Nothobranchius furzeri: one gene and its partners. The protein of the gene in region 1 purifies or fractionates together with the protein of each later gene. This does not show direct contact. Links are inferred from orthologs where the notes say so. Each region holds a gene or a part of one and is shown on either strand. Other genes may lie near its edges.

Evidence for each region.
Region 2: the proteins of IQ calmodulin-binding motif-containing protein 1 (region 1) and cep290 purify together in Homo sapiens (co-immunoprecipitation; 8 studies listed by BioGRID and IntAct, counting the BioPlex papers as one, with this or other methods). This does not show direct contact. The link is inferred for Nothobranchius furzeri from reciprocal best matches to the Homo sapiens genes IQCB1 and CEP290.
Region 3: the proteins of IQ calmodulin-binding motif-containing protein 1 (region 1) and exoc1 purify together in Homo sapiens (affinity purification with mass spectrometry; 3 studies listed by BioGRID and IntAct, counting the BioPlex papers as one, with this or other methods). This does not show direct contact. The link is inferred for Nothobranchius furzeri from reciprocal best matches to the Homo sapiens genes IQCB1 and EXOC1.

Annotation. Positions count from the first base shown.
Region 1 is NC_091743.1:82,551,806-82,558,741, reverse strand, and holds the end of IQ calmodulin-binding motif-containing protein 1, read left to right. Parts: intron 1-225; coding exon 226-325; intron 326-477; coding exon 478-650; intron 651-1,422; coding exon 1,423-1,532; intron 1,533-2,097; coding exon 2,098-2,216; intron 2,217-3,092; coding exon 3,093-3,159; intron 3,160-3,307; coding exon 3,308-3,383; intron 3,384-3,891; coding exon 3,892-4,055; intron 4,056-4,177; coding exon 4,178-4,315; intron 4,316-4,460; coding exon 4,461-4,617; intron 4,618-4,801; coding exon 4,802-5,058; 3' UTR 5,059-5,321; downstream 5,322-6,936. Other genes in the region: protein EFR3 homolog B, read left to right, coding at 6,166-6,436. UniProt on the Homo sapiens protein: Involved in ciliogenesis. The function in an early step in cilia formation depends on its association with CEP290/NPHP6.
Region 2 is NC_091744.1:50,574,115-50,581,050, forward strand, and holds part of cep290 (centrosomal protein of 290 kDa), read left to right. Parts: intron 1-4,551; coding exon 4,552-4,725; intron 4,726-4,816; coding exon 4,817-4,928; intron 4,929-5,413; coding exon 5,414-5,619; intron 5,620-5,890; coding exon 5,891-6,042; intron 6,043-6,340; coding exon 6,341-6,452; intron 6,453-6,936. UniProt on the Homo sapiens protein: Involved in early and late steps in cilia formation. Its association with CCP110 is required for inhibition of primary cilia formation by CCP110.
Region 3 is NC_091748.1:40,498,097-40,505,579, forward strand, and holds the start of exoc1 (exocyst complex component 1), read left to right. Parts: upstream 1-3,326; 5' UTR 3,327-3,419; intron 3,420-4,160; 5' UTR 4,161-4,171; coding exon 4,172-4,295; intron 4,296-4,361; coding exon 4,362-4,492; intron 4,493-4,579; coding exon 4,580-4,739; intron 4,740-5,022; coding exon 5,023-5,040; intron 5,041-5,639; coding exon 5,640-5,827; intron 5,828-6,414; coding exon 6,415-6,642; intron 6,643-6,730; coding exon 6,731-6,863; intron 6,864-6,950; coding exon 6,951-7,060; intron 7,061-7,483.

The DNA of each region.
Region 1 (6,936 bases):
ACACACACACACACACACACACACACACACACACACACACACACACGGGACTGTCTCAGCTGTTATTTTCATTAAGGAGTGTGCACGTACAGCATGTGCACCTCGTGCACGAGCCTACTATTGAAGCTGCTGTTATGCTTTTGGCCTGAGGGGGCAATCGCAAGCATAAAAATTCAAAAGTCCGTAAAGTCCCTTTAAACTAAGGTTTTCTCTTTCTCACATCAGTCTTTAGCTCCACCCAATATGAGCAGATCCAGCTGTGTGATGACATCACGGTGTCTTTGCTCTGCATTCAGATGTGGATTCAAACTTGCACAGTGAGCAGGTACACACACATGCATACACTCTCACACACACAATGTAAGTTTTTGCTTATCGAACCGACTCGATGACGAAACGTTTTCAGCTCACAGCAAAACATTTTGAACAGAGTTTTAAAATAAAGTAGAATCTGACCTGTTATTTGTTCGTCTGCAGCAAATTCCTGTCTGATCTGAGTGATGATGCCATCCTCCTGCTGCTCGAAGAGGCCGTCTGCCAACTAGCTCACAGCTCAGATGCTGCGGTGGGTGGAGCCTCCATCAGACTCATCCTTCTAATGGCCAGAGGGTTGGAGCTCCGCCTCCCGTCCCTCAAGCTGAACTTTAAAGGTCAGAGGTCAAACATGTAGACTTTCAGTGGGTGACAATGAGGCCCTATCCCAATACTCGCACTTCCAACCTTGCACCCTTCAATTTTGCGCTCCAGCCAGGGGCTCCGAGGTGTCCAGATCCCCAAGTATGGAAATTGGCCACGCCCCCTTTTGCACACTTCGCCCAAGTTGATGCGGATTTGGATGAAGGATATTACCCACATTCCATTGCTGCATGGGAATTTTTATGACAGCAGTAGCTCAGGAGGTTGAGTGGGTTGTCCAGTAATCGGAAGGTTGCAGGTTCGAACCCAGCTCTGGACAGAGAAATCTGCTGTTGTGTCCTTGGGCAAGACACTTAACCCTCCTTACCTGCTCGTGGTGGTCGGAGGGACCGTCGGTGCCTACTCTCGGCAGCCTCGCCTTTGTTGGTGCGCCCCAGGGCAGCTGTGGCTACATCGTAGCTCATCACCATCCGTGTGTGAATGGATGAATGATGCACTGTAGTGCAAAGTGCTTTGGAGTCCTCTGACTCTGAAAAGGCGCTATACAAGTGCGGCTCATTTATCATTTATAAGAAGGCGGAACGATGTTTGTTTCAAAGTTGTTAATAAAGATTTTTTTTAAGTAGCAGAAACAGTGACCAGCTTGCGGTGCGGTCGATGACTCAACTGTTTGCACACTTGTGTACTACACACTCGAAGCCTTACTGCGCACTTGCTGAAGACCGTAGGGCGCAGTGCGAGCAGTGAGATTGGGCCTGTGTGGTCACATGAGTTCTGTCTCTGTAGGTCTGGACAGACTACTGGAGAAAGATTGGAGGGGGCGGGGCTTTGACCAGGATGTTGATCAGCTGGTAGCAATCATCCAATCAGAAAAGCCTGTGACTAACCAGTTGGAGGTTTGTTGGCACTTTAATAATTCATTTATATAATAAAAATGTCTACATTCTTAGCAACTTTAATGATTCATTTGTAGTGTGAAGATTTTAAAGAAATATTGGGGTTTCATTTAGAAAATGTTTCAGTGTAAGCTTTTCTTATTGTGCCATTTTAAAAAGATTTTTGTGATTTCTATAGTTTGAGAGTCCTATTTATCTTTTAGAACACGTTCTTTTGTTTGCTGTATTAGAATAGAAAATAAAATAGAAAATCCCTTCATTGCCCTCAGTTCTCCAGTTGTAAAGGCTTTACAGCTGGAGAATATTACATTTTGTTCAAGATGTGGTTGAATACATAATTAGACATTTTTACAAAAATCATATTGAAAGAACAGAAACTCCTCTTCTATTTCTGGTGCATCAAAATAAAATACTTTGAACTTTTATAATAACGTTTTATATAATGAACTTTTGTTGACAGAATGAAACCACTGCAGCTGTAACATAGAACCGTTCTGTTAGAGTCACTAAAGGAAAAGGTGGAAGAGACAATCAGACTCAGGCAGCAAACACTTTCTGTCTAAAGGAGAGCACTGAGCGTGTGCGAGCCGCGAGTGTGATCCAGGCAACCTGGAGGTCATATCAGACCCGACGCAGAGTGAAGAACCTCAACAGAGCTGTGAGCATGCTGCAGAGGAGATACAGGTACAACTTCCTGTTTGGAGAAGATACAGGTAACAACTTCCTGTTGTAGAGGATATACAGGTAACAACTTCCTAATTGGAGAAGATACAGGTAACAACTTCCTGTTGTAGAGGATATACAGGTAACAACTTCCTGTTTGGAGAAGATACAGGTAACAACTTCCGGTTTTAGATTATATACAGGTACGACTTCCTGTTTTAGAGGGGATACAGGTAACAACTTCCTGTTTAGAGGATGTACAGGTAACAACTTCCTGTTTAGAGGATGTACAGGTACGACTTCCTGTTTTAGAGGAGAAACAGGTAACAACTTCCTGTTTAGAGGAGATACAGTTAACGACTTCCTGTTTCAGAGGAGATACAGGTAACAACTTCCTGTTTTGGAGGAGATACAGAAACTGAAACACCAGAACCATCTGGAGCAGATCAGATTAATCAGACATGATTACACCAACTAGCAGGAATATAACCGGTAGTTCTTAATCATTAAAATCTGAATTCACCTGTGGTCCAGGTGTTTACTCCAGCTAGTGGTTATGTGGTGTTGTTTGGGTTTCTTTGTTTTTTGTTCATTTAGGCTTGTTATATCCAAGAAACCAAGTATTTTTTATTCAACAGTGTGTTGTAGAAGAAGCTGGAAGACTTGTCAGTTGAATAGTTTACTGGTGCAAATAAAATAACTTTTCCACACACTTTTCACCTGCCTGACTGGTGGGTTGATGCAGAGAGCACTTTGTTTGAAGTTTCTGGAAATAAATCCACTAAAGTGTGTGTGTGTGTGTGTGTGTGTGTGTGTGTGTGTGTGTGTGTGTGTGTGTGTGTGTGTGTGTGTGTGTGTGTGTGTGTGTGTGTGTGTGTGCGTGCATGTGTGTGTTAGGTCTCGAAAGAGGCATGAGCAGGAGCAGCAGGAGGCGCAGCGGCAGAAGGAGGAACTTAAGTATCAGGTAGAAGTTTTAGTTTTTAACACAGAAGTGTTATTCTTCCCTGATAAGAAGATGACTGTTGGAGATACTTTAAGTTTAAGTCAGATCCACCATGTAACAGCTGAGCATTTGTCTTGTGAGCCTCCTCACAGTCTGGTTGATGTTGTAGGTGTGTGTGAGGCGACAACAGGCCAGGAGGAGCTTCCACCAGAGACAGTTACAACTGCTGCAGCTGCTGCCTCCTGGTAAATAAACCTGGTCTGTTTCTCTCAACTACAGGAGGACCTCTCTAGGTTTTATTTACTGTTGTTGTTTGGTTTTCCCTGTGACACAAACTTTTTATATAACTGGATTTTGATGATCCTAGTAGTTAGAAACATGTTTAGTACTAAGAAATGTATCAGAGCCGTTTCCAGGACTGGTTCTGAGCAGCATAATTATGTTCTTTTTTTAACACAGGAAAGGATGTTTTACCTTTTGGCTGACAGTTTCGACCACACCTGCAGTCTTCTTCAGAGCTAGCCGCTGTGGCTAGCTCTGAAGAAGACTGCAGGTGTGGTTCCTAATAATGAAATCAGAAGAAACACACAGTAGGATTACACAAAATAGGGTTTGGATCTGGTGACTAAATTCATTCAAATTAAAGTTAAGTTTGTTTTACATGAGATTATTTAAAATGCAGATTATCCTATATCAGAAACACTCATATTTTAATCCCTCTGTAAACATGTGTGTGTGTGTGTGTGTTTTCAGAGCAGGTGCAGCCATACCTGGAAGAGTGTAAGCGTCGAGCCGCCATTGTGATCCAGAGCTTCTGGAGAGGCTTCAGGGAGAGGAGACGCTACAAGAACACACTGAGACACGCTCTGAGGCAGAAAGACATACAAGAGCAGGCTGCTAGGACGCTGCAGAGAGCTGTAATTACACACACACACACACACACACACACACACACACACACACACAAAGACAGGTCTTAATTCAGGAGCTCCTAGTGAAATCTGTTTGAGTCACTCCTCTCTCCTTTTTACCCCTTCAGGTGCGACGTTTTTTAGGAAAACGTGCACCAGCAAAGGTCCCATTCCTTGTCCCTCTCTGGATTGGTCAGGAAGGTTTGACAGACAGCCGGAGGGCGGAGCTACAGCAGCAGGTGGACAATTACATTTCTGTTCACCGGGTGAGAAGATGCTGATGCTTATAAACTAAAATCTGAGAGATATAATCAAACATTTAATTGTCATGTCCGGTGATTTTGACTCCGTGTATGTGTGTGTGTGTGTGTGTGTGTGTGTGTGTGTGTGTGTGTGTGTGTGTGTGTGTAGTCATCTCGTGTGTCTCCTGAGGAGTGTGTTTCCCTCCATCAGGAGGTGCAGCTGCTCCTGCAGGCGGAGCTGCAAAGAGGAGATTATTACAGAAGAGAGGAGCAGCGGGTGGCAGCTGTCCTGGCGTGTACGCACACACAGTTGGAGCTGCTCCGAGGTAACACGCCCATATCATCTTCTTCTGTTTTTATTTAGGTCGTGCTGACACTCAAACACGAAAACTCAACAATCAAACCTGTAGAGAACATTTCATCTGTGGGTGCAGCTCCATGGGCCCTCTAGTGGTGTGGAGGCTGCACATCTGGATCCAGCTGTTGATCAGTCTGTATTGCTCCTTGCAGATGCCCCGCCCCTTTCTGTTGTCACGGAGGTGCAGGCTAACTCCTTTCTGAGCCCGTCAGCTTCCATTGCCGCTCAAGCGCGCGACGCCCAGAACGCAGTGCTGCAGGCGAGCCGGCTGCCCTGGTGGAGGATGCTGGGAGAGCTGGATGCTGGTGTAGGGTCTTGCCACGCCCACCTGCAGGAGCTAGAGGCGGAGCTTGGAGGATTGTTTATAGTAGGTCCAGCAAAGGACAGTAAACTCTCTGAGGTGGATTGAGTCCAGCTTTAACCTGAAACCTGATCCGAAGGGACTGAAATCAAAACCAGAACTTTTTTTATAAAGCTCCACCTTTACCAACAGGGGCACTCACCAAATCTGTCTCAAGGGACCCAGATGGACCAGAACTGAAAAATCAGAGAGTGCCTCATTCATTTATAAGTATACAAACAAGGCACTGTACCTGTCAATCCACACTCAGGGTGAAATAACACAGTCCACAAGAATGGATCACATTCTGACAATAAAAGGTTTGTCAGAAACGGCTGTTTATTTATCAATGATCACATGAGAACCAGGATGTCTCAGATCCTCCTCCTGCAACAGGATTACAGGCCGGAGAGGTCTGAAGCGACACAACATCTTTCATAGGCTTCAGGTTAGAAAACACAAAGGAACAAACAGCTGTTATATAACTTCTCAGAAAATACCTAAAACCTTTTTATGGCGTAAAACGATGGGACTGGATGTAAAACCTAAGGATCTGTAATCTAGACCAGTTTAATAATCTGTGGTATGCTGTATAGACCCCCCCCCCCCCCCCCCCCCGTGATTTGTCCTAAGGAGACAAACTGATCCAGATGACCCTGTTGGATGATGCAGTTGAAGTGCTCTTCGTACATCAGCAGAGGGAGCTCCTGCACATAGCAGCAGCCTGATGATGATGAGGAGGAGGAGGAGCATCAGGAGGAGGTGCAGAGGTTTTTAAACTTTCATGTGAGTCAGGAACCAGCTGCTGCAGCCGGATGCTTGTGGAGCTTTATGTGGAGCAGCAGATCGATCACGCTGATTATTGATTGGAGCTCAGCTGATGTTACATAAACAGCTGTTGGAGGGAAGCAGCTGCAGCAGGTAGGAGCTTCGTGGACTTTCAACACTTTACAGAAGCTTTTCCCACCAGGATCGGAGCAGCTTCTTACAAGCAGGTTGTTCTTAGTTTGGTTTCATTAGAACAATAAAGTTATTTGAATTTTTAAAGAGAGAAACTAAGCAGAAGCTTCAGGTTTCAGGAGAGCATCACAGCAGCTGTGTGTCTCGCAGGTTAAGAAGAAGACAACAGGGAGGATTTCCCTTCCTCCTCCACCTGTTCCAAGACTCATCCCAGTGATGCCGGGGACTCTCCCCAGATTTCCCAGCATGCCGCGGGGGGTGACCATGCCGGCCCTGGTCAGTTCTCTGCCCCGAAGCATCAACCCCCCCAGCCTTCCCCGAGGAATCACCATGCCCAGTCTGCCCACTCTCCCCAGCTTTCCCAGCATCCCCCGGGGCCTGACCATCCCCAGCTTGCCCAGGGTCATCGTCATGCCGACCGTACCTGAAGCTCCTCGACGGCTGCTGCAGGACTGCTGCTCCGTGTTCGACCACCAAACCTCAGGAGGTGACTCTCTCTCTTCTTCTGTGTTTTATTAGATGCTGTTGGTCCAGATAGTGCAGAGGAAACCTCCTAACGCAGTCTGGTTTCCTTATTAGTGTGAATAATTTCTGGTTAATCTCCACAATCTGAGACGTAACCAGCAGCTGGAGCTCAGGTGGATTTTAAATCAGCTTATCCGGATTTTATTTTTGACTTTTCTCTGATTTGAAGGAGAAATGCTGTAAACTTTCATCCGTGGATCTTTCAGACTTAAAAAATATTTTCATTAGAAAAAAATGTGTGAAAAATGAAAGGAAGATGTGAGAAATTAACTTAATTAGCATCTTATAAATTTTAATGTATTTCAATATAAAAAATAGTTAAACATATAAATGAAGTGGAGAGGGTCTGACTGAAACTTTAATCTTTCCTTTCACCATTTGGTCCCAAAGTGTCTTAATTTCTTTACATTTTATCCTCATTTTATATATTTTTGTTCTCAGATAATTTTCTTCTTTTCATCT
Region 2 (6,936 bases), on another chromosome or scaffold:
CCTGGTTCTTGTTCCCTGCATGAGGTTCTGTGATACCTCCGGCACCTGTTTGACAAGGGCCGGGCCGCCTTAACCCTTTAGGTACACCTGGCGGCTATTTCGGCCAACCACCTCTTGGTGGATGGCAGGAGCATTGGGGCTCACTGTTTGGTGACCCAGTTTCTGCGGGGCGTGAGAAGGTTGCGTCCTGCCTTGTGCAGGCCGGCACCTGCTTGGGACCTTCCCCTGGTCCTGCAGGCCCTGTGTGGGCTGCCCTTTGAGCCGATGACTACCTCCCCGTTGGCAGTGGTGTCTGTGAAAACCGCCTTTCTCTTGGAAGTGACGTCGGCTAAACGGGTCAGTGAGCTGCACTCACTGGACATCAGCCCCGCCTGCCTGCGGTGAAGGCAGATGGGTCGGGGGAGATGCTGTGGCCCAACGTTGCCTTTCTTCCCAAAGTTCTGCCCTCTGGCTACGTGAATGCCGCAATCGAGCTGGGGGCGTATTTCCCTCCCCCATTTCATTCGGAGGAACAACGGCGGACGAATTTGCTGTGCCCGGTCCGGGCACTGCAGCTCTATATTGTGGCCACAAACACTGTCCGGCAGTCGAACCAGCTGTTAGTCACGGAGGAGTGAACAGGGGTCGGGCCCTTTCGAAGCAGAGGCTGTCGCATTGGGTCGTGGATGCCATTGCAATGGCTTATGTGGCAGTGGGTGCAGTGGCTCCCCCTGGGATCGTGTGCCATTCCACCAGGAGTGTTGCTACATCCTGGGCGGCGATGAGAGGTGTGCCACTGTCGTACGTCTGTGCTGCGGCGTCCTGGGCAACTCCGTGCACGTTTGCACGCTTCTACCGCCTCAACGTTGGCCACGGGTCCACACTCGCTTCAGCTGTGCTGCCTCTGGCGGCTACCTCCTGAGTGAAGGTGAGTTTTATGTTCCTCGTGACACTGCTGGCATGAGTCATCCACTCTGTTTACTGCCACTGGGAGTCAGGAGGGAACGAAACAGAACGGAAGTTACGGTGTAACTATGGTTCTGTGAGTTCCTGGATGGCTGCCAGTCACAGGGGTCACTCGGAACTTCTCGGGCGAGAAGATCCCGGGAGACCTGAACGTAGCTATCGGCGCGTAATTTATAGACTCGCGACCAGGTGCGCTACGTGTCACGTGCGTGACTTGGTTTACATTAGTGCTCGACCTGCGCAGAGCGCGAGGAGATACGTCCACTCTGTTTACTGCTACTGGCAGTCATCCAGGAACTCACAGAACCATAGTTACACCGTAACTTCCGTTCATGGTTGACGCATCCGCAAGGTCCGCACGGCAAAATTGCGTCATTTTAACAACCACGCCCCTCCACCGCACCTCCGCAAGGCCCAAAGTTTCCGCACTGCACACCTAGGAAATTTTCTACCCACGCGGACGGTCGGACGTAGAAAAACATGGTGGACCGACAAGAACTAGTATGGCAGAGGTTCATAAATACAGACATTTGTATGATTCAGCTCTCAAAGATCACCGTGATCAACATGTTTTTAATAATTCTTGGAGAGAAATAGCTCGCACTGTCGGAAAAGACGAGGACGCTGTTAAAAATGCTGAAATGCCATGTTGTAAACAACAGTAATTTTTACTTCTACTATGGTGAAGTGTTGGATGCATGCGTGTAGAGCTCCATGCCGCCCCCTACAGTTTGGGAGAATATTGGCTTACCGCAGAGACAAGCCGCATGAACCATAAACGCTGCGAGTTGTGAAGCACGTTCCATCCGCATCACCAAGCGGAAAGTGAATGCGTCAAGCATAAACCAAGCTTAAAGCTGTCGATCATGAGACTCAAACCACTGAGCCACACTACAGTTGGACCTGGGCAGGTCCACACTAAACCTGATAGGCACCATGAAGACGGTTGTCTCCATATTTAAATCCAATAAAGCAGAAACTCTCATTTCTACCAATACGTCAGTTAATTATCTGTTTTAGAAGGATGGCCACCGCTGCTCTAGTGTCGTTTTATGGTTTTAATGATTAGTCCTCTAGCTGAGTTTCCACGGGTCCAAATACAGGTTGAACCTCTTTCAGAAAAGTTAAAAGACTTTATTTTGTTCAATAACATGTATTTGCACAAACATAACAGGAAATGTTTTTATATATTTTATATAATGCCAACAAGACAGAAAAGATTATAGGAGAGATGCAAAAACTGTGAGATTAACCGGTTAGCCGTAAAAGGAGCATCCACAGAAATAAAACACGTCATTCCCATGTAAGAGTAGTTTGTGACAAATCACTTTGTTCTAAACTTCACCAGATAACAGTCAACCATAAAACAAATTGAAGGCATTCTCAGCTATCTGTAGATAAGTTTAGTGTTTTAACACCAGGAATAAATGACTGTGTGATAATCTGGAGGTCAGGGGGATCTCAGAGCCTTAAAGACCAGGCGGGTCATGAATCCTGGGTGAGAAAGAGAGGTGCTGCTGTATATGTTCAGGATAACCAAAACAACTCGGTCACTCAACACCGTCTGCTGCTGCTGAAACTTTCTCATACAAGGAGGAAGCCATTCATCAAACCTGCCGCTGACTTCTTTGGTCACAGGTTCATCCCAGATGCGCAGAAAGACAATCAGACGTATGTCACAGGAGTCCAAACTTTAGCTGTTTAGGATGAATTTCACATACCATCAACGAGGAAGAAGACATTTATCAGTGAAAGGTGCTGAATTCATCATCCGTCGTAGTACGGGAGGGTGTGTGTAAATGCTCTACAGACGCAGAGAACGACACAGGAATGTTGGGCAGATGTGCTATCATCAGACGCCCAAGTCCGTCTGCTCTCTGCAGGAGCTCTGCACACTTTCAAGATTGTGCTCTAATGAACACACAGAGATAAACCTCTCTATCAAAAACTGCTAATGTCTGTCTGCTTTTTATCAAGACTGGAGAAAACATTCATCCCTGCAGCAGCAAAATCCACAGACACAGCCGATAAGAGTACAAAATACTAGACACGAAGGTTGGTTCATCAGGTCCAGCAGTTCGTTACACAAATAAACATTTTAACCAGCCAAACTTTTCACAACTTGTGTTGGATCTTTAACTTTCCAACAAACACAGCGTCCGCCCACTCTGCCCAGGAACAGTTTTAGAACATTCCAGGCAGAAGTGCGTATCACTTTCCACCTCTCGTGTCTAAGTTCCCGTCAACTCTCGTCTCATTTAATGTTGCAGAAATCTCTCATGATCTGTTACAGCTCAGGGCTTGTGTTGTGTAAGAGTCAACTAACGTGCCAGTTTGAGATCAGGACCTAATCCACTCAGTTTAGTCTTGTTTATCTTTTCCATTGACACTAAGGTGTAGCTGCGGAGGCCATTCAAAAGTTAATTCGTTGTAGATGTAGATATGATGACGTTTATCAAATCTGGATCCGTTCTTTTGTCCCAATGGTAAATGCCATAAAACAGAAGTCTTCTCTTTATTTCTTTTGATTTGTTAAGTGCAATAAAGCACCAGTAGAAGTAAAAGAAACAACGCAGGGAGAGTAAATGGACACTACAGTCAACACGACCTTTGTCAGTTTTAACTCGGCTGTAACCTAAAGATGAGATGCAGATAAGAAGAGATTGTTCATGGGTGAAGGTTTGAGTTTGTTTTCCTCATCTCGCTGAGCATTCTTTCAGTCTCGATCAAAAGTCTTAAGACCACTTGAAAATGGCCAAAACTCATATTTTGCATAGTTGGATCCTAACAAGGTGGAGCTTCAACTTGTAACGAGAAGAAATGGGAGTGAGACAGAAGATGTTCTGAGCATTATGTTTTGTAAACAAGGCTTAAACTGAAACAGGCTGTTGTAATGCTTATTGGGGATGAATGGCAAGGGACATTTACAAAAATGGACACCAGTTCCTGACAGTAGAGGCCCTCCGTGCAGTCGTCTTCACCACTTGGAGAAATGTTTCCCACTCCCCGTATGGAAACCACTGCATCAAGCGTGTGCAAAAAATTTGTGAAGTGATTGACGACGACGGTGGAGCTGCTGTTTGGAGCTTTGATGTTAGTGTTTTGGAGGAGTTACGGGTGTTTTTGGGAGCTGTGGTCTTAAACTTTTGATCAACTATAAAACAACGACCAGTTTCAGTTTAAGTGTTGTTTTTAATAAATCGCTGCTCAGAAAATGTTTTGCCTCACTCGTATTTCTTCCTGTCTCAACTCTACGTGGGACCTTGTTAAGATCCAACCTTGCAAAATGTGATTTTTGGCCGATTTTCAAGTAGTCTAATACTTTTGATGGGGCCTGTATTTGTACCAGTCCTTGTTTTTCTTGTCCATCTCCAGGTCTTTTTTATCAGCTTCATTGGTTTTGACTATTTTTTAGCTGAATAAGTCAAAGTTACCAGGACAGATAGTTGAAATACCAACCACGTATTTAAACATGTAACATCCCTTCTATCCTCATCTGTTTACTGGAAATTAGTCCCATCACAAATATGAGTACAGTGTCCTCAGAAAGACACATTTCAACCCTCATCAGGTCTACTTTATCCTCATGTCTTGTGTTTTCTACAGGAAATGGCTGCTTACAAGATGTCTGCTCTGCAGAAGGCCTTGGATGACAGCGTCCCTGCGTCAGAGCTGGAGAAGGCTAATAAGCAGTACACCGAGCTAACAGTCAAATACAGAGACATGCTCCAGAGAGACAGCTGTCTCATACAGAGAACCACCAACCTCGAACATTTACAGGTATTAATATAATACCCAAGTATCTCCGTTACTCACTCAATATGTCTGTTAGCTTATGTTTGGTAGCTGACGGACTTGCTCCATCTTTTAGGGTGAAAACGACTCCCTTCGAGAACAAATCTCCTCCATGATTAAAGAACTGGAGATCACGAAGGAGAAACTGAACACGTTAGAGCAAGCGTGGGAGAGCGCTGGCCCGGCTGGTAAACAAGCAGCGTGTGGTGTTTTGTTTACCTTGATTATAGAAACGTGTCATGAAACGAGTACAATCGAGACATTCAGCAATCAGGATTGCTCAGAGAAAGTTGTTTACAGGGATAATTTGATGCCATCACTGTTATAATCAGCAGATTTTCAGGGCTTTAGTGATGCTACGAGACACCGCCTGGGGCTCAGGCTTCAAGTGGGACAGAGGTTTGTTTACATCTGTACGGTGTCAGACCCCGCTCCTGAGCATGTTGCAGTAGATGAGTATCACAGCCTTAGCTTCATGGTATTGTGGCTAGCATTGTTCTGACTGGGATGATGTTTCATTGTGCTCCGACCAAATGGTGCCATCAGCGCTACTCTAGAGCTCTCACATCTGAGTCAGAGTAGTTCCATTTAGACCTCTAGGTCTGACATGGACACAGCCACAGACCTGGTTTGGTGGATTCCACCCTGAACACGATGTTTTATTTTTGGTTAGGTGTGGAACCTGGCATGGCCAAGTCAGACAAGGCGTCCATCAACAACGAGATGCTATCTGCAGCAAGACAAATCACTACCTCAGAGATGAAGGAGCTGAATGAGAGACAGAGAGCCGAGCATGCCCAGAAAATGTACGAGCACACGAGGAACTCCCTCAGACAGGTGGAGGAGCGCAACGCCGAGCTGGAGTCCAAGTTTGCAGAAGTAAGACGCCAAAGAAATCACGGAGGATTTGTTTTCTTCTGTCAGGCTCTAAAGGCGTGGGCATCAGCATCACAGTGAGCTTTGGTCCATCTGAAAACATACAGACAGTGCTATCTTACATTTCCAGGTGCAGAACGGGGTTTCACCTCACACACAGCCTGTGTGGAAAGACCAGTTCGCTTTATAATTGCTGACCCTTGGCTGCTTGATCTCCTCTCATCTATTAATATTTTCTTTTACCAAATAGTTTTGTGGTTTTGTTTTCCTTCAGCTCACAAAGATGAATGCGGAGGCCCAGAAGACCGAGCGGGAGCTAAGAGATGAGTTGGCAGACAGCGTCAGCAAAGCTGTGAGCGATGCAGATCGAGCCAGGATCTCAGAGCTGGAGAAGGCGGAGGCCGAGCTCCGCTTCGAAGTCTCCAAGTACGTTTCACGCTGTCCCGATACTCCGCTATCTTCAAACACAACCCTGGTGATGGATTATAGAGACAAGAATGTTTTCACAGGAATGATGACTGAAATTCAACCGTTTTTCATGGGCAGGGAGTAACATCAATATTTTAGAAACATGAATGATCTGTTCCTGTTGTTGTGGATTTTACAAATAAAAACTTTAACGATCGTCTTTAGAGAAATGTATAGTGTAAGTGTGTGTGTGTGTGTGTGTGTGTGTGTGTGTGTGTGTGTGTGTGTGTGTGTGTGTGTGTGTTTATTTTAACAGGCTGCAGGAGGTGTCTGATGTGGCGATGGCTCAGGTGTCTGCTCTGCAGGCCCGACAGAAGTCCAAAGATACAGAAGTAGAAGCTTTAAGGAGACAATTACTGGACTTACAGGTAACTGCCAGGGTCCTTGTGTAGGGGATTCCAGCAAATACCAGTGTTGCTTGTTTTATTGTTTTATTTGTTAGTTTCTATTTGTAGATGGTAGCACCTTCATCAGTGACTATAGATGTAGAAGATATAAAGCAGGATTGCTTGATAAATTGATTGAACAGAAGAGAAACTTGTGTTAAACAGGAAAACGCTCAGATTAGAAAAGCCTCACAGATCTATGTCACACTGAAAGCTAACGTTCATGGACCCATCTTGGCTCACGACAGGAAGGGCTGTTGTTGGTTTAGTGTCCAGGAGAGAGCAGAACACATTTGGGCTAGCAGAAGCTAACTGTTAGCATTAGCAACTTCACCACACAGCAGAACTTCATGCTTGAGCTATTTGTGGAGATAAAACATCAGTGTTGCAGAACAAACAGTCAGAGGTAGAGTCACATTGCTGTTAGCCAGTCAGAGGAGAGATATATCAAAATCTGGAAGTAAGA
Region 3 (7,483 bases), on another chromosome or scaffold:
TTCTCTGCATTTCTTCTGAAAAACCCTATTTTTACTAACCATGGATTTGATGAATTGGTCATTCAATGCGATTGATAAGATTTTTTCAACAATGAGAACGGAACAGCGGGCTCCCACCTGTCCACAGGGGACACACCCAGTGGGATATAAGCTGGATTCCTGGAAGGAATGGAAGATCATATGCCTCAGCCAGCTGTCCATTGAGGATATCGAAGACGTGTGGATATTCGGCCTGATGATCACTGGATTTCTCCTGACTGGAGTGGGAGGATATGTGGTTTTCTGGAAATTTGGGAAGACGAGAGCGATTGGAGGGCGACCCGCACCCACGGAAAGCACCGTTCGTGTGGAGACTTCTCAGACTGGGACATTACTCAAGGTGAATCGTAAGCTGGACAATGTTCTAGCCGCAATACCGGTATTAGTGCGCAAAATGGATATCATCTCGGAGGGTCACCGGACGGTATGGACAGGTTTAAAAACCCAAAATGGGCTTCACTGAAGGACTGGAATGATCAGTTTAAAGACTGAAGGCAGAGAGGAAAATAATCTCAGCCTGACCCAAACAAAGTCATGTTATCTGAATATGACGCCCTGGTAGCCTTGAGCATAGGGATGGGTACCGAATTCTGTACTTTTCAAGGTACCGACCGAATTCCATAGTACCTACCGAGCACCGATTCACGTCATTTCAAACGGTGCCTCGTTTCGGTACCCGTCCATCATAACGAGAACTTGCCAAGACAGCTGCGCATGAGCAAGAGCGTTTTAACGTCGCTCGCTGTGAACCAGTTGTAAACAGAGCAGCATGGGTAGAAAGAACACACGCTAAAGCTTGGGTCCACTTCACTAAATGTGATGGGTAACTGGGTGATGATGAAACCAGCAACAATGATCTAAGTGAGACATCCTCATCTTAATCTGCTCCGGTAGGTAAATATAATTAGCTTGATATGTTAGCTTCCGTTTCGCTAATGGTGCGTTTGCTTTCTCCTCGAAACTCTGAATTCCCGACTAGAACAACATGAACGCGCTCTAAAGTTTGGCTTCAGGTTACTAAATGTGACGGGTGAAGACGAAACCAGCGACGATCTAAGTGTGAGGCATCATCGTTTTAATCTGCTTCAGCAGCTAAATAAACTGTTTAAGATATTGTTAGCTTGATATCTTAGCTTCCATTGCTACCATTGTTATCAGCTAATGGTGCGTTCGCTTTCTCCTCGGAAATTCTAACTTCCCAGTAGGAAAAATCAAATGAAAAAAGACGGCAAAAGGAATAAAGATACACAGTAAATTTAGTTCACAGTAAAGATGTTTGCTTCAGTTTAATTATCAGCTTATAAAACTACAAGGACGATGTTAAAATACAAACAGTTGTATGTTATTTATTGTGATATTTATCAAATATTGTTATATATTGAGAAAAAATATATTTAATTATAAAAGAGAATTAAAATAATAAACAGTCAAAAGTATCGAAAATTGGTACCGTTAAGTACCGGTATCGATTCGTAGGTACCGGTAATTAGTACCGGATCGATTCAAATGTCAAAGGTACCCATCCCTACTTGAGCGGCAAGCAACAAACCCCCACGAAGGAATGCAGACAGATGCTGTAAAAACCCGACACCCACCCCCACCCCCCACCCCGCCTTTGGATTGGTGGACTTCAACCTGGCAAGGTCATCAATCTGCTGGAGACAATGTGCTCTTCGCTTCTCCCAAGATCTCCCTCCCACCTGTGACTGTACAGCAGATGACCGCCGTGGATGGCTGCTTCCGCTGGGGGAATCAGGATCCCAGCCCCCCCCCCCCCCGCCTTCCTATTGGAGTCTCCACCTGATCCAACTCTCATGTAACCCTCTTATCTCTATTAAGGTAGCCCAACTCGGGTTGCGAATGACCACAGTTACCAATTCTTGTCATGTGTCTTGCCCATGTATGTCTGATCTCTGAATTGTGTGTACTGAAACTCTAATTTCCCTCTGGGATTAATAAAGTATTGATTGATTGATTGATTGATTGATTGATTGATTGATTGATTGATTGAGATTCTTATCTGGGGCCATGAGAATATCATTTGTAACTTTCACTAATACAGTTTCAGTGCTGTGATACTCTCTAAAACCAGACTGAAATTCCTCAAACAGAGCATTGGTGTTTAAATGCTCACATACTTGGATGGCCACTATTTTCTCCAGGACTTTGGATAAAAATGGAAGGTTAGATATTGGTCTATAATTCATTGGGTCATCTGGATCCAGAGAAGGCTTCTTAAGTGAAGGTTAGATTACAGCAACCTTAAAATCCTGTGGTACATACCCATTTACTAAGGATAGACTGATTATACCTAGAAAGGGGGCAGTAACCAAAGGAATTGCATTTTTAAATAATTTGGTTGGGATTGGATCTAAATTGCAAGTTGAAGTTAGATGAAGCTAATATTTTTGATAACTCTGAAAGCTCAACTGGATCAAAACGGTTCAAACACAGATGAGGTTCTACAGTTACCTCTGATGCTGCCTCACTTACTGAGGAAGAAGAAATCACATTAGGGAGGATGCTAAAGATTTTGTTTCTAATGGAATTAATTTTACTTGTGAAAAATTCCATAAAGTTGTTACTGCTGAGTGAATCGATGGTTCAGAGTTATGATTTTGTGTAAGTTTGGCAACTGTACTGAAAATAAATTTTGGATTATTCTTATTCTCCTCAATTAGCGCTGAAAAATAAGCAGTTCTAGCTTGTCGAAGCTTATTTTTATAAAGCACAAGACTATTTTTCCAGGATAAGTAGGACTCCTCCTGGTGTGTAGAGCACCGTGTTCTCTCCAATTTTCTAGAGTTTTGTTTTAAAGTTCGTAAATGAAAATCAAACCAGGGAGCCAACCGCCTATCCCTAATTACCTTCTTTTTTAAAGGGGCAACATCATCTAACACACGCACGCACGCACGTACGCACGCACACACACACACACACACACACACATACACGCATTCAGGCGCATAATGTGAAAGTATAAAAGTAAACATGGTAATAATATATCTAAAATATCAAGTAAATTATTGAGTCAAATTAATCTAAATGTAAACAGAGGCCCATGTTAAGGTGTCAGAAGTAACTTGTAACTGTAAAGGTGTAGTAGTGCACAGAAGCACTGACCTGGCTCCTAGCAGCAATAGATTCAGTTCAGGGTTGGCTCTTACACGTTGTTCAGTTACTGCTTTAAATAAGTTAAATTCGTTCCAAGAATTTCGCACATTACTGAAAATGACCAATAACTTTTAAAAAAAACTATCATTAAAATGGGTTTAGTATTTCCAGTGGGCGTGGCCTTTGGGTTGTCACATGACAGCTGTGGCCGAGAAGCAGGAAGTGAGAGGGCGGTGCTTTGAAGGGCTGCAGCGGATGAAAATAAGGTAAATGCTACGTAAAATCTATACTATTTTCAATATTTATAGAATATTTTGATTACGATATCTAAACACGCAATGTAGAGTCATTTGTGAATGTAGCTACAATGCACGTTGGGCAGTTTTTGCTGATCGTCGATAGCTTAGCAATGCTAGCCTAGGACTAATATCTAACCGGAGAGAGGACAACGTTTTTATAGGAACTAGTGCTGATTCTGTACCACATACACGACCTAAGTTGCTTCAGAACCCTTTAATTCGGGGTTTGGTAGCTTGTTATTGCTTAATAGAAACATTTACTACGATAGTCTCTCAGATTCAATCTCCGGCTTTATGTATACGTTAAACAGTAAACAGTGCAGTCTGCAAAAGCACCAGTCAGTAACCTTTTCCTGTGCTGCTAAAAACTGTCAAATTGGGTTAAATAAACGACTAAAGAATTTTTCGATAGCAAAGGAAAAAAATCAAGACTTGATATAACTTTTAGGGATTTTTTGCTGAATCTCTAAATGTTTTTCCGTGAAACGTCTGATATTTTTGAAGTTTGGTTCTTGTGTTCTCTGAAGGGCCTCGCTCTCTGTAATGTTGGTGGTGTTTGAATCACTCATCCGCCCCCCCCCCCCTCCCCACTTCATTCTGAGTTCCTACTCTGAATATGTGTTTTATTGTTAACTGGAAATCACGAACCGAACACTAGATACGTCTTGCGTTGATCAGATTCATGACTTGTTCTGTTCTGTATGACAGTACGATCCACCATGACAGCCATAAAGCACGCTCTCCAGAGGGACATCTTCACACCCAACGACGAGCGTCTTCTCGGCATAGTTAATGTCTGCAAGGCGGGAAAGAAAAAGAAAAACTGCTTCTTGTGTGCTACAGGTATGTGTGTGAAAGCTGCGGAAGCTCCTGTAAAGAACATTCATGATAAAAGGACTTTTTTTCCAGTTACCACAGAGAGGCCAGTCCAGGTTAAAGTGGTTAAGGTGAAGAAATCTGACAAGGGGGACTTTTATAAGAGACAGCAGACCTGGGAGCTCCGAGACCTGACAGTAGTAGATGCCAAAGATGCAAGCAAGGTTAGAGGTCACACGGTCTGTCATGGCGTCCCCTATTGGTTCAGCACTCTGCAGTTAGGACTGATGCATGCTCTGTTTACGTTGTAGGAAAACCCAGAGTTTGATCTTCATTTTGAGAAGGTTTACCGATGGTTGGCTAGCAGCACAGCTGAAAAAAACTCCTTCATTTCCTGTATCTGGAAGCTGAACCAGCGTTATCTAAGGAAGAAGTTGGAGTTTGTCAACGTCAACTCTCAGCTCCTTGAAGGTGGGTAAATGCTAAAACTTCAGCCAGCTCAGAGTCTGCATGCTCCTTACTATAACTTAATTGTAATTCTTTAAAGATGCATCTTTTCCCCTCAAGCTCTACAACTCTACAACCTTTTGCATGTGTAATGTGTATACCTCCATAATTTGGTAGATTTTATTTACAGGTAGCATGTTTTTAAAACTGAAAGCCTCTTCTTTGTATGTTGGTTTGTGTCAGTAGTTTTCTTTGTTAAGTTCTTTTTTTATTCTCACTCTTTTTCTCTTGATCTTTCTGTGGCCAGAGCTTCCTAAAGCTGAAGGTTGGTAGGAATAAACTTTCCGCTTGATCCCTCCTCCTACCTCTTCATTATACTGTTCATGACCCCAAGCCACCATTTTCATCAAAGATTCTAGTTTTCCTGCATTTCCTGTGATTTAAATCATGTAATTAAACATGGAGGACATAATAATACTAATGATAATTATAACATCAACTGTAACACAAACTTAGGTTGTTCAGCTATTCTATCTATTCCACATTAAGTCATGACTTAATTTTTTTGTGGCATTAGTGCACTGTACACATAGTTTATGCTCACCTCTTCTACATGTTATGTATTAAAATAGTCATAGTCTAATAATAAACACTAAATAAAATTTAGCTCATGTATGTGCTTTTTGACCTCATGCCACTGCCTGAGATTGGTTTTCATTTTGTGTTCATATCCCTGCTACATTATCATCAGATGTCGGTAATAAATGAGATTTTACGGCCTTTAGTAGCATTTCTTTAAACTCTAAATACCTTTGATTCTATTTATTTAAATCAAAGAAATAATAAAAAATAATCTGACAACAATGGCAGTGCTTCTGGTATTATCATCTGTATTCCTAATTTCACTTATTTTCATGGACTTAGAGTCGGTGCCGAGCGGTGAGAGCCAGAGTGTTGCCGGAGGCGACGAGGATGCCCTGGATGACTACCAAGAGCTCAGCACTCGTGAGGAGCAGGACATTGAGAGCATGATGGAGACGTGCGAGTACGCGATCTCTAACGCCGAAGCTTTTGCAGAGAAGCTCTTCAAGGAGCTGCAAGTTTTAGACGGGGTGAGCGAAGCAGTCACTGACGCTCTCTTTTTTTTTTTTTTTGCTAGTTTCTCAGAAAACCCAAATCATTAACGTATTAACTGCCAGCAGTTTCCGGATCAGAAAAGCCTCTCGCTGCCAGTGGTTTTGAGCGTTTTAACGGTTTTTTGAAGAGTCACAGAACGTTGTGCTCAATGATGAAATCAACTCCAAGATCACCAAAACAAAGGGTAGACTCACTTCCCACATCAGGACGGATCCGCGTGTTTCTAGAGTTATCTGTTCTTTCATAATCCGTCGTCATGGCAGATGCTTCTCCGGTTCCCACCTCACCTTTATCACAGCGGCGGCCCAAAACGGTCTCCTAATACATGGATTTTCTGATCAGGTGGTGTGTGACATGAGCGGCTGAAGATCAGCTTTGGAGCCGGGATGTTTGTTCTCACGGTGTGGGGGCTTGTTCCCACACCTGCCCAGTAATAAAATGCAATTGATGACTTTAGTTGTTGATGGCAGCGAGCGGTTGGATTTAAAATGATGACTTTAGTCGTCAATAGCAGTTAATGAGTTAACCAAAAAGGCATCTCTGGATCTGTGTCTTCCTAAAGGCCAACATCCAGTCCATCATGGCATCAGAGAAGCAGGTCAATATCCTGATGCAGCTGCTGGATGAAGCTCTGACAGAGGTGGACACCATTGAGGGAAAGCTGAGCAGCTACGAGGAGATGCTCCAGAGCGTCAAGGATCAGATGGATCAGATCTCCCAGAGCAACCGTCTCATCCAGATCAGCAACACCAACAATAACAAACTGCTGGATGAGATCCAGTTCTTAGTGGTGAGGCGCTATAACACACAGTTGTGTGTGTGTGACACTGAGTCACAGTGTGTTGTTAGATGACTCTGGTTCCTCTCTCCTCCTGTAGAACTACATGGATTTGTCAAAGGGGCACATCAGGGCTCTGCAGGAAGGAGACCTCACCTCCCCTAAAGGGATAGAGGCCTGCATCAATGCTTCTGAAGCTCTGCTGCAGTGCATGAGCGTGGCTCTGCGGCCAGGTATTGAGTAACTTCTGCAGAAATAAATTGACTTTGTAGTTTTTTTTTAGTGTTCAATCAAATGAAAGTGTACGTTACTTCCTTCAGGTCATGAAAAGCTGATGGCTGTGAGGCAGCAGCAGCTTCTGTTTGCTGAGCTGAGAGACACGTTTGCTCGCCGCCTCACCAATCACCTTAACAATGTGTTTGTTCACCAGGTGAGTGCTCAGTCTTGTCCTTTACAACCGTGTTCCTACTCAGGCTGGACAATTTCTTTCATGTGGATTTTCTGTACCTTAACTTAAAAGCAACAACATGTTAAATGCTGCTGTAGCATGACTGGCTGTGGCTGGTCACATGACCTTATGTCATTTTTATCAGCTTTGTTACACAGAAACAACAAAGCTACACAAAATATCAGATATCTGGTTTGACGTGGCTTTTTTTCTGTTTATATACATCAGAGAATAAGCACTATGAAGCTACGGGGACAGAAATCAGACTCAGCTTTTGATCAGCTTGAACAATGAAGACCTATGGTCTCCTGGCTCTTTTTTCTCCTTGTGAGCTTCCTTTTTAGCTGACGCTCTCTTCCTGGGCTTCCTGTGTTATTTTCCTAGCAGCTGTGTCCCTCCCGCTCA